Linked DNA regions of Rhinolophus ferrumequinum. The protein of the gene in region 1 interacts with the protein of each later gene in a pairwise test. Links are inferred from orthologs where the notes say so. Each region holds a gene or a part of one and is shown on either strand. Other genes may lie near its edges. The genes, in order: DNAJB11 and UBR1.

Region 1 (6,706 bases):
AAATCATTACAATGAACACTTTAAATATATTACAATTTTATTTGTCTATTATGCATCAATAAAGCTGGAAAAAATAAAATCACAGATCTTTTATTCTATTTCTAGAGGAACTCGCAACACATGCAAAACAGCTAACTCCTAAAATTAATAGATATGAAAAATTATCAATAGCTTATTTGTAAAATTTTTCACTATAGTGTTGAAAGTTTCTGTGTATATGTTTTTCAAATAGTAAATAATTTATTAAGCATTCAATAAATATTCCTCAGTGTTATTAAAAATGAAGGAAAAAAAAAGAAAGAAAAAGAAAATGGGAAGAAGAATATGTCCAGCTCTACTATATTTCATGGTGTCCTGGTGAAAAGTAAATGAGATGATACACATGAAAGTGTTTTGATCTCTAGATTAGAGGCTGTAAATTCAAACTACAGCTGTGTTTTGTTTGATCTGCATAAAAAAAGAAAATTTTAAATTGAATTAGTTACCAAAATTTTACAATCAGGAGAATTTACATAAAAATCTAGATTTCCACTTCTCTTGAAACATTAAATGATCTGGCAACACAGTATTTGCATTTGTATGTGGCAAAAACTGGTCAGGGCTGAATAACAGCTGCTTCCTTAAAATGGGGCAAGAAGTCTTCAGTTTGTCACAGTTCTCATCAATCTCTAGCGATTCCCAATATGGAAGGTAAAATATCCATTGTCATATTTTATCTTATTCCTGCCCTGTATGTTATTTGCCTGGTCCATATGGGCATATGGATTTGTAGTCCTCATTTAGATTTTGTTCCTGTTTCTGGCTCCAGCTCCCAAACTGGTTGATTGATAATAAATTTACTTAACTAACCTATCAATCTTTCTTTCATTCACCTTTTTTCAACATTACTCTCCTTAATAAAACAAATAATATGAAAAAGGCAGCAAATGGCATCTACTAACATTAATTCACACTGTAGCCTCACATATTACTTTTATCTATTGTCTATTTTTAAAAAGAAGTGACCTGAAGGAAGAGAATGTTTCCCGTGTTATATGGTCTTTTCTCTACCTCTAGATTTTATTCCTACTTTATACTTTTCTCACTCACCTCATAAGCAGCACCCAGATCCTGGAATTTCTCCTGAGCTCGTGGATCATCAGGGTTCCGGTCAGGATGAAGCTGTAGGGCTAGTTTCCTGTAGGCCTTTTTAATATCCTTTATAGAGGCACTGCGAGGCACCCCCAAGATCTTATAGAAATCTCGACTGGGGAGGAGGGAAAAAGAGAGGATACTTCATTAAAGAATTATATATAATACTTTTAAGTGAATTTTTTCCTTTATATTTAGGCTTGTGTCTGAGCAAAGAGGCAAGAGAATGAAGGTATACATGAGACAGTAACACACAAAAAAGAATGACTGAAAAGAGAACACACCAGAATTTGTAGTAAGTTTTATATATTGAAATAATCACAGAGAGAGGCTATGTACTTTTTGAGCAATGCTAGTATTATTCAAAACATCTATGTCATTCTTTTCTTAGAATTACCTTCAGTCAAGAAAACCATTTTCTTATTTTCTGTTCACACGTTATTTTCAACCAAGAATTGTATAAGCAAATTAACTCTTTTCCCCATTACTGACTTCAAATGACTTTTGACTGTTTCTGAAGGTCAAATAACAACCTCAAAGGATGATTTTCTTTATTCAAAAAGATTACATCACATAAATGTTCTGACTAACAGTACACTGGTGGAATGTTAAAGATGAAGTGACTGAAATTAACTTCAGAGGTTAACATAGGGGTTAAGCCAAAGAACTCTGAAGAGAGAATAACACCCATTTGGATGTATGAGTTGTGGGTCTTTGCTGAAAGAGACAGAAAACATCAATCCTGCAGTCATTGCTAGTAGTTATACTACTTTGTCTAAGTCAAGTCTTAATTATAGACAGCTGCTGAAGACCATATGCAGGAGCTTACAAGGCTCAGCAGCCGCAAATATGCATTTGGCATGAGCTGGGAGATAAGGTATAGACATCCACAGACTTCCTTGCAAGGGATTATGTTGGAACCAAATTAATTATAAAGGAAATCTTTGTAAGAAGGGCCAATGGGAAGATAGAATATGACTATAAACTTTCAGGGCAGGGACTGTGTCCAGCCCACAGAAAACACCAATAAATATTCATTGAATAAAATGAATAAATAAGCACGCTCTCAAAAATCTATTCCTTTTTGCCAGAGTCACTTTAGCCACGAGAAGTTATTCTGAAAATGCATTCTGTCAGTAAAGGAAATGGGAAAGTTGTTCACAATGGACACACTAATGGAGTAGTGATGGTAATTTTATAATGTAGTGGGGGGAATGCACTGGGGTACCAAGATAGACATGATATAAGACAGAACATTTCAAAAATTATTTCATAATCTTTTAGTCACACTTTAGGAAAATCATTTAAGTTTTTAAAATCATGCACAAAGGGTTCCATGAGGATTAATTAAGTGCTTTATCCCCCCCCCAAATAAAATCTGCAAAAACTTGGTATCTCTTGAGACAAGAACTACATAAATTGAAAGGTTCACTACAATTAATGACAAAAGAGGTAACTCTATAAAGAATAAGGCTTAATTAGGATATGCATAATACAAAAATGGTGAGGTAACAGCTCAAAAAATACAGGGGAAAGATAGTAGCTGGCATAGCTCAGCATCACCATTACAATTCCCAAGAGATTCCTTTATGGAAGACTTGAAGATTAAGGCTACAGTATTAACTATATTTATATGGACATTTTGTTTAAACACCGTAGGGTACTTACTGCTTTAAGTGTAAATACTACTAACAAAAACATACTAAGAAAAACGATAATAAGGCATTACCTATGAGAGTTAATTTAAAAAGAAATTTAAGATATTTCAAAAGAAAAAAAGAATAACAATAGTTTAAGCATATATACAAAGGGAAAAAGCTTTGACGAGAATAACAAGTGCTTAAATTTTATAGCTGTGCTAGGTAGTACTTTCTCCATTTAGAGCAACCTGTTAATTGTTAGAAGTTAAGACCTTACTCTTCCTCACATTCTACGAATATTCTCCTGGCATATCATATCCTGTGGTCACCACGCTTATAGGATCAAGGATCTTAAAAGGCTGGAAGGATTCTCCAGAGTGCAGGTGGTCCTACTCCCTTTGTAGAGGAGGCACATTACTATCTTCGTGTCACCGCTGTGAATTTAGGTGGTTCCTTCAAGGTCACATAATTCCTAAGTGGGGGAGGTAGATGGGCTAGAATCTCAGTCTAGTACCTGTTGGTGAAATGCTCTTCCCTCTCATACCATTCAGCTTCTCAAAACTGTACCACGGAAAGAGACAGTGAGGCATGATGACAGCTCAGACTCAATATATCAAGAAGCCGGGAAGTACAAAGGTCTGCCTTACTCCCTCAATTTAATTTCCTTCAGTCCCAGCATGGCTTCCACATCTGTTCTCCTTACTTCCTTACTCAGCATGGCACTAACCCACCCACTTTAATGTCAGCTCCCCAATGGCTCTTTGCAGGCTCAACATAATATAGTCCTGTTTCCCAGCTCAGCAGCCCCGCTCGGCGCCCCCCGCCCCGCTCCTTGTGGTAGGCGCTGCATCCAACTCCCACTCCTCCGCACAAATCTAGCTCTATAGGCTCTGTGGGTCTAAGCCCCTCTCCCTCGTGTCACCCATCGCTCTCCCCACCCCACTAGCCTGGTCCACACTACGCATTCTTCGGCCCCACCGCCTCACCACAGCAATGCCCCCTCTTCATCCCTCCAGCCTCGTCCCAGCCAAGGCTGACTCGCGGGCTCTGTGCCTCGCGGGTGCCCGCTCCTCACCCGGCGATCACGGCCCCGATGAAGTACAGCAGCAACAGGCAGAAGGTACTCAGGTTTTGTGGGGCCATGGTTTCGCTGTGCCAGCCTCTGTGCCGGCCCTTGCCCCAAACACTCCTCACAGCGTCCGCCGCCGCCGCGTCGGCTCCCCAGCCCACCCAGCCCTGAGAGGCCGCCTCACGCAGGGGTCTCCTACTCGGTCCGGAACGACAGCTAGCTTGCCCCCCCCCTCTGCCAGTCAGCTTCCCGGGAGTCCCCAGTCCCCGTGAGAGAGAAGCCCTCGGCAAGTGAGAGCCAATCGCTGCTCCGGACATCACACGCGGCCGGCGCCTCGCAACCAATCAGCGCAGTACACTTCACCTCCGAGGCGGCGCTGGCAGCCAGTTAGGCTTCAGAACTACAGCCGCAACTCCCGGCCAGTTAGAAGAGACAACGTCAGAGAATCGCGCCGCTGCAGGAATCCGCTCAGCCCCGGCTCCCGCGAGTCGTAGAAAACTACGTAAAAGGGCGGTAGGGGAATTGGTGCCAAAAGAGGGCACCAAGATCCAAGAAGTTCCCCCACCCGCCCTCGGACTCTCCACCAATCGGGAGGCTCCTCCTTCAGCACTGACCAATTGCGGGAGGAAAGTTTGAGCCTGGTTACTAGTCTTGGAATTTCATTCATATGGAACTACACGCTGGAGGCGTGTAGGCAAAATGGGCGGGGACAATTACTCCACGCCGACAGTACCCCGGAGGCAATGCTTAGGAGATCTTATTACTATACCTTCTCCTGACCTCCAAGGAGAAAATTGTCTCGGTTTCACAGAGAAGAGACCGTGGAGACAGACCGAGGTGCGGATTCAGCTTCCACCACTTCTTAAAGGTGAGAACAGCCTCCGCCCCTTACCCACAAGCCTGAACCTAAGCTTCTTTATTTACAAATTTGAGCTATTTTACTGGCAGTGTTGTGAAATTTTAATAGGAGAAAATCTGTAAATAGTCTAGTACAGCGTCTGGCACATAAAGCAGGCGATCATCGCCTGCTTTATGTGCCAGACGCTGTACTAGACTGTTTACAGGAGAATTCTGATTCCCTCCACCTACTTTTGCTTGTCTCAGTAAACGCACCACCTAGTTGTTCACGACAAAACTCTGGGTGTGTTCCTTGATTCCTTTGCCGCATCCCCTATCCAAGTCTTTATCTTTAAACTATAACCTGAATCTGTCCACTACTCTACATCTCCACTATCTCTCTGGGCTAAGTCACATCACTGCTCACCTGACAAGTACCTCCTAACTGGCCTCCCAGCCTCCTCTATTAATATCTCTTGTTCACTCCTGCCCCGCTGCCATGATTTTTTTTACAAACATATCAAATTATGTGATTCCCCTGCTTAAAAGCCTTGAATGGCTTTCTATTGCACTTAGAATAAAATCCCAGCCCTTTATGCTAGCTCATAAAACTTTATATGTCTCAAAAAAGCTGGGGAAAAAATTTTTTAAACCTTATATGAGCTCTACTTTCACCTAGTATACACCTTACCATGTTCCAGCAAAATTGGTTTCCTTTCTCTTTTTTTAATACACCAAGTTCATTACTGCCTAGGGCCTTTGTTCTAGCTGTTCTTTCTGCCAGAAACATTCTTCCCTCAGCTCCTAACAAGGGTGACTCCTTTTTAAACACAGATATCAGCTTAAATATCACCTCTAAGAAGACTTCCCTGATCAATCAAAATTAGCTCCTGCTGAATCCCTTGTTCTTACACCATCTTGTTTTATATTAGTTTCCATCCCCGCATCCCGTACTCACATACACTGGGAATGCCAGTTTCGTGAGAGCATGAATCTAGATTGTTCTGTTCTCAGCTGTATAGAATAGTACCTTAGAACAGTGCCTGCCATGGAGTAAAAATTGCTTCGACTGTGATCTTCGTATTATGTCTTCTTATTCTTCTTATTCTTCAAATTCAGCACTGACTTCATCCCCCCCAATAATCACTATCTGATATTATCCTATTTTATTTTCTTAATATGTATTATCCATTCTCCCTATTAAAATATACATTCCAAGAAAACAATGACCTGTTTTGTTCACTAGTGTAATCCTAGTGCCTAGCACTGTGCCAGACAGAGTGGTGCTCAATAAATAATTGCTGTTGCAGAAAACATAGACACAGAGAGAATTTGATCAATGTCTGAGCCACTTAGTGGTGCAGCCTGGATTCTAACCTAGATCTTTTTTAATCCAAGGCCCCTGCTCTTTACCTCTTGATTCATGCAGAGTTAAGAGAAAGACAAAGTTACTGCTTTCAGGAGATGCCTACTAGGGGAGAGAGGCTATGTAAACGAGGAACTAAATTGCATTTTATGGTCTTATTTACCTTTGTATCGGCCACACCTAGAGAAACCATAAACGAACTAAGAAAGCAGGAAATGGCTAAAAATCATGAAATGAAGGTTTAGAGGAAGGAGTGATGTCTGCTGCTGGGTGGAATCTAAAAAAACTTCGAGAAAGTGGTTACATGTTGGGAAAACTAACAGAGTTAAGCTAAGCCTGGAATTTCCCTGCATCAGAAGGCCTGGGCTTGTATCTTGGCTAGTGTCTTGCTGTGTGACCTTAGGGGTGTGATACTGTCACCTCTACACCCTAGTTTCCCCATCAATAAAACAAATGTACTTAATATTAAGGACTCTTGGGAAGACTGAGATAATACACATAAAAGTAGTTTACACAATGCCCCATCCAGAATAAGCACTCTAAAATGTAAATTATCATTATTATTACTGATCCAAGTGTGCTGACCTTTCCAGCAGCTACTGCCTAACCACAGTTCTGTGGAACACTAAAAGACTTCCTACTCTCCTGAGTTGAAAGGTGTGA
Region 2 (6,706 bases), on another chromosome or scaffold:
TAAAACTGAGAAAAAATTTAAAATCGATCAATTTAAAATAAGTTATCAACCCAATACATGTTAACATAAATAACATTTTTGGGTAAAAAAATTACTGTTTCCCAAAACAACAAAAAATATTGAAAAGTGTGCTAATGTTTTACATTTTTGCGAATCTCTTTAATGTCTGACTTAATAGAAGACAACTGGGTTCTCATATCTGCTTCTGCATTCAATCCATTGTGTTATGTTTTTTTCAGTTGAAGTATTGAAGAAATTCTGGCCTCACACAGGTAACATAGTTGGAAAAGGGAGGAGTACTTTAATAGTGTTTTCAAATAATTGTGGTTCTTTGAAACCACAATTGATGCATTCTTTGAAACGACACCAGAGTTGGGCAAATACTAAGATTATTTCAATGTAGAATATGAAAATTTACCAATAAAATTTTTGTACTCCATTAACATTAAATTCTATTGATCTATTTAGCAATGTGAAAGGACCTTTTACTCACGCTTGATTTTGTAAAATCCCACATTTGTCATTTGGAAAATATTGATTTATTGAGTTATACAGATCTTCCAAATGTCAATACATTTCATTATATAAAATACCACCCCCCCAAATTATGTGTTAACACCACAACTGATTTCATCAGGTTGCAAACTAGGTTGCAAACTCATAGTGGCAGATCAAGTTCGCCACAAAATGTTCACTTGAAAGCTCAAATTCTTTTATAGACAACAAAAACTGTTGTTTTCCTTGAAGAGAAAAGCTTACTCGTTTATATTTAAGAAAATCCCTGCCATATACCAAAGTCTGAATAACCCTAGGGTGTCTGTCAGTTGTTCTTTTAAGTAAAAATGGTATTCCGTGAAAAAAGTGGCTGGTTCAGCTAGCGACTCGGTCACAGAAGTGCTTCTCCTCAAATCAACCATCATACTTTGGTGCTAAGTCACCCACCATGACTTCTGCACCAATAAGTACAAATACCAACATAGTTAAAAAAAAAAAAAAGGCACATAACTACTCTGTATTACTATAGTTTTTATCTCACAGACTTCCTGAGTCTAGGGAACTCACAGGGGGTCTGTGGACCACACTTTGAGAGTCACTGTTCTGCAACATTTTTAACTGCTGCAGAGTATTACATTGTATGGGTGGCCACAGTTTGTTTAGCCAGTGTCCTTTATTGTTGGACATTTGAGTTGTTTATAATTTTTCTCTATTACCAATACTAATATAGTTAAAACTTCACTTGCATCCTGAATTATTTTTCTAGGATAGTCCTAAAAACGAAATTGCTGGGCCAAAGAGTATGCTTTTTTTTTTTTTTTTAAAGATTTTTTTTATTGGGGAAGGGGTACAGGACTTTATTGGGGAACAGTGTGTACTTCCAGGACTTTTTTCCAAGTCAAGTTGTTGTCCTTTCAGTCTTAGGTGCAGGGGTCGCAGCCCACCATCCCTTGTAGGAGTCAAACCGGCAACCTTGTGGTTGAGAGGATGCGCTCCAACCAATTGAGCCATCTGGGAGGCAGCTCAGCTCAAGGTGCCCTGTTCAATTTTAGTTGCAGGGGGCGGAGCCCACCATCCCTTGTGGGACTCAAGGAGTTGAACTGGCAACCTTGTGGTTGAGAGCCCACTGGCCCATGTGGGAATCGAACCAGCAGCCTTCGGAGTTAGGAGCATGGAGCTCTAACCAACTGAGCCACCGGGCCGGCCCAAGAGTACGCATTTTTAAAAAAACAGCTTCTGAATATTGCCACATTGCCTTCCCGCAGATTTACCAATGTACACTTGCATTTTACATAACAATAAGTATCCTTCCAGCTTACCAATGACAGTTATCTTTAGAAAAACTTACCAAATTTACAGGCAATAAATGGTATCCCATTTTTAATTTGCATTTCTCTGCTAGTTAAAAACTAGTTAAGTTTTTTTCATGTATTTATAAAAATTGGTGAGTTGCATATTTATGTATTTTGCCCATTTTTCTTTTTTTTTTTTTTTGGATTTTAACCTTTAGTATGTCATGTAAGTTGAAAACATTTCTTCCCGTTTTTAATTTTATCTTTATGTAGTTTTTCTTTTACGATATGTAAGTTTTTAATTTTAATGAAATATACATGTCATTTTATATTTTCTGCCTTCTGTGTCATGCTCTAAAAAGCTTTCTCCATCCCAGTATTACACTATTTACTTCTTTACTTTAGTAGTTAACTGTTAAATGCATTAAAATTATTTTGATACATGATTTGAAGATCTTAATCTATTCCTAAATAGCTAACTATTTATCATTTCTAAAGTGTCAGAAGCTTTATTTTTCCCTTTGTTAAAAATGCATTTCTAAATGTTTTGTAAACAATTTAAAACAATGCAGATGAAGCTCAAGTAGCTCTTGACACCTTATTTCTCTCCTGATCCTCAGAGCTTACTATTAGTTTGTTGTCTTCCCTTTCAGACTGTTTCTTTCCCTTTTAAATGTACTAAGCATGAATATATAGTTTGTAGCAACTTGATTGTTGTGTTTTCCCCTCACTTAATTTATCTTTATCTTTCCATATGGTGTTCCATAATGTGGATTACCATGTTTATTTTGTCTTCCTTCTGCCAATGAATGACTAAATTTCCAAATTCTCGTTATTTCTTCACTATCACTCCTAAAAGAGCTGTGGCCCGACTTTTATTGCGCGCACGTGCAAGTGCTCATTTCTAAAGATGTTAACAGCTTTGAGTGCTTTTTCATTTGTGGGCTCAAGGGAACCATTATTGCAGGTACGTTGAGACAAAACGCACCCAGACCCACGACCCGGCCAGAAGGAGATCCAGGACGGGTTGTCACTTAGACCCTGACAGTTTTCTTCCTTCCATCATGGACGCTGAATTTGTTTTTTCACCTCGTACAAGCAACAGTTCGCTGAACCGAAACCACACACACAATCAGACCGCCACCAAGCACTACAACCAAGAAATTAGGGAAGGAACACGCTCTGGCCCTATGGGCCGTGACGCTTCCTTCCGGGAAACGGACCGGAAGTCGCTGTTGGAGTCTGCGTGCAACTCGACTTGAGGGGCCGTCGTAAAAGTGTCGTCCCTCGTCTCTTGGACCGGCCACAGGTTTCCGCTCGCCTCCGGCCGGGGGGTCTGCAACTGCGGGCGTCAGTTTCCCTCAAGATGGCGGACGAGGAGGCTGGGGATACGGAGAGGATGGAAGTCAGCCCGGAGTTGCCCCGGACCCCCCAGCGCCTGGCATCTGTAAGTCCTTGTGGGCAAGTCCCTTTTGCACCCCCCAGCCCCTCCCTACCGCGCTCAGAAGGATGCGGGGCTTCCCCACTTATGGCGGCTTTGGGGAGGGGGAGTCGTATGGATTGATCTTGAAGGAATCCACCAAATAAAGTTGGTCATCAGCCACATTCCTGCCGGCCAAGTCTACGGAACATAACGACTGTGTCATCTATAAGTGGTTACAAGCTCAAGCGTGTCTCTATCCTGAAGTAGAAAGAAGTGGTGATGTTATTAGATGGTTTGTCTGGTGTGGGGGCTGAGGCGGGGTTGGAGGAAGAGCCATTTTCCCACAGACGCTGCACTGACCCCCTCTGGACGACAGGCACCCAGGACGCAGCACCCAGGGTTGGGTTGCATAGCTAATTGGGTGGGGCCTGATAGTGTCAGGGTGTGCGGCCACTGTCACCTCATGTCAAGATGTGGGGTGTGGGAATTACAGCCCTTCATTCTAGTATCTTGAGAACACCAGGCCTCATCTTCAACGGGGAAACCCGCCATCTGTCGCTGCCCTTTAAAGGTGAAGAAGAGACTTCTAGACATTTCAAGTCAGAGCAATACCATTCATTAATGTCGGAATCTATATGTTGCCCTTGTATTTTGAAATAATGGGAAGGCAGAGATCAGGAACCAACGTGAGTCAATAGTCTGGCTCCAGGAGAAAGCTGACTGAGGAGGAGAAGAGGTAGGGGGTAACATTCAACAGGTAACGTTCTGGATGATTCCCAGCATCCGGTGGGGAGAGATATAGGAAATATTCAAATATTGATCGCTACCTGATGTTGAGTTTTATCAGTTTGTCTTTATTCTTGCATATAGAAAAGTGTAGAAGGATATACACCTCTTTCTGAAGTTTCTTTGACTTGTAGTTTTAATAAAAGCATTCTTGAAGTATTTTAACCCTGTAGACACTAGAGCATTGTTTTATGAAAGAACAGGGTGAGCTCCAGAAATAAGAGTTCCCCCAGGGAGTAGTGAGACTGGCTCTGGAGATAGAAACCAGGTAGGGAGGCAGTTGGAATAAGGGTATGGCCGCCAGCTTGCAGGCATCCTCTACCCCAAATGGCAATTCAACATCACTTCACTATTTGAGATGATAAGAAATGAGGAGATAGGGGAAGTTTAGAAGCAGCTGAAACATCTGGTCTAAATGGTGGAGCTTGTGCTTTTTACATCTTTGAAGGAGTGGAGAAAACTGCGCTGTGGGTAAAGTGTTATTGTAATTTTCTATTGCCAAAGATGACTTTGTTTATTTAAAGCTTTGATATATTCATTCCTTCCAGGTGGTACAGTAAAAACTTATCAATCTGGACTTCACTTATTTGGGATTGGAGATAATGGTAGAGTAATCAAGCCAGCATCATGTTGTAAACTCTTTACTTCAGGAAATACTAGATTTCATCGGGCAAGGCTTCGGGTTTTGCAAAGTAGTAGGTAGATGCCAAGAGAAGTGTAATAGCCTCAGGGAACTCAGAGTCCAGAGACACAGATAAGACAAGTGCTCAAATAATTTTAATTCAAGATAGGGTGATGTAAGTAAATGAAAACTTGTGACTGTTAAGCCTCATGATCACTTTTTGGCTTGGATTTCTCTATCTACTTGAGGACCCCAGATATCATCCTACTTGTGTTTTCTTTTTAAAGCTACCAACTTCAGTTTTATCCTGGCAGTGGAGTAAGATACTGGCTTTCCATTTTACTTCTTTGCTGTTAAGCAAAACAAGCCCGGCGATTCTTCAGCATTTGAATGATTTGTATTCTAAATCACCATTGGGAGGCAGGGAAAACAAAATAAATATGGGACAGTTACAGAGGTTTAAGAAATCTTACTAACTCCATTAAAGTCTTCTCCCTGGGGTTATAGTTTCTGCTATCCTTAAATCAAACTTCCTTCTTAATCCCCAGGTCATTTTTCTGTTATATTGCTACCAATAACTATGAAGTCTCTCAAATTCCTAACATCACCTAACATGCAATTAGAATGAAATAATAGGTATGACTTATTGAGCATTTATAAAAGCCATTGTTTAAAAATGATTAGGGGAAAAATTCTGTTGGTCTGGAGAGGGGTCCAAGAATTTGCATTTTCACAAGCATCCTCTGCTAATTCTGAAGTCCTGGTCTGTGGGCCACACTTTGAATAAGATTTAGCTAGACATTTGGAAGTTCTCAGTATAGAGTTGAAAGATAAGGTTGATCTTTGAGGAGGACAGTGTGTGTGTCTGTGTGTATACACAAATACACAGAAAGAAAGAGAGAGAGAGAAAGAGAGAAAGGCACACGTGGAAAGAGGGAGGGAAAGGGAAACAAGAGGAGGGACAGGAATGATTGAATTTCAGGGTCAGACGATGTAGAAAGAACCAGGGAAGGACCTAGAAAGGGAGTCGCCAAGCAGGTAAGAGGTGAGAGTAGTGCAGTATCATGGGGTATAGTTCCTAGGAAAGGGTGGAAGATGAGGACTGAGAAAAATTGGGAATTCATAGAGTATATGGGCGGGGAGGGAGGGGGTCTGACAGAACTTCTGCCTTCTGTCTTTGACTGGATTTTCTTTTTTAAGTCCAAAAAATTCCTTCTGACATGGTACTAAGCTCTTTTTCCTGTCTATACCCTCTGCTTATGTGATTTCATTCAGTCCTGTGGCTTTAAATACCACCTGTATGCATTCAGTTCCCAAAGTTATATTTCTAGGTCATCTCACTTCTGAGCTCCAGAATCACAGATCCAACTGCCTACTTGACATACCCACTTGGGTGTCTGATAAGTGTTTCAAACAGGGGAACAATTAGGAAGCTATCCCAGTAACTCAAGCCATAGTTGATGGTATCTTGTCATGGAGAACTCACTGGAGATGAAAAGAAGAGGATGGGTTTGAGAGAGATTTTAGAAGTATGATAGAAGCAAAGCAAAAAGATTTGCCTATGGATTAGGCATGAGGGGAAAAGGAAGAAACAGATGACATCTGGATCCCCAGTTTTTGGCTTAAGCATTCATGGCTGTGGTTGTGTCATATACTGAGAGGAAGGACCTGGTTTGGGGAGTGGGCAAGCAGGAGGTAGAGCAAGAGTTTTGTTATCCCTGTCTCAGTAGATGACACTTCCATTTAATAGCTCTTCAACACAAACAACTCTGTCTCACTCCACCTTTCTAGTCTAGCCATCATCTGTTGCCTAGGCAACTGCAGTGGCCTCTTAACTGGTCTCTTTGCTTCCATTTTTGCCTTCTTCCAGTCCACTCTCCTCATAGCAACCAGCGTCATCTTTTTAAGACTAAATTACATCATGTCAATTTCCTGCCTAAATTTTTCAGTGGTTTCCCATTGTACTTGGAATAAAATCTAAACACATTACAGGTCATTCAAGACCCTCCCTGATTTGGCCTCTACATCTCCCCTCACTCCTTTCCCCTTATCAGTTATTTTCCCCTCATCAGTTTTAGCCACCATGGC

What was found.
Region 2: the proteins of DNAJB11 (region 1) and UBR1 interact in a two-hybrid assay, tested with the Homo sapiens proteins (2 studies listed by BioGRID and IntAct). The link is inferred for Rhinolophus ferrumequinum from reciprocal best matches to the Homo sapiens genes DNAJB11 and UBR1.

The regions. Positions count from the first base shown.
Region 1 is NC_046285.1:59,037,586-59,044,291, forward strand, and holds the start of DNAJB11 (dnaJ homolog subfamily B member 11), read right to left. Parts: upstream 4,112-6,706; 5' UTR 3,915-4,111; coding exon 3,847-3,914; intron 1,247-3,846; coding exon 1,090-1,246; intron 1-1,089. UniProt on the Homo sapiens protein: As a co-chaperone for HSPA5 it is required for proper folding, trafficking or degradation of proteins.
Region 2 is NC_046289.1:62,618,028-62,624,733, forward strand, and holds the start of UBR1 (E3 ubiquitin-protein ligase UBR1), read left to right. Parts: upstream 1-2,814; 5' UTR 2,815-3,153; coding exon 3,154-3,234; intron 3,235-6,706. UniProt on the Homo sapiens protein: E3 ubiquitin-protein ligase which is a component of the N-end rule pathway. Recognizes and binds proteins bearing specific N-terminal residues that are destabilizing according to the N-end rule, leading to their ubiquitination and subsequent degradation.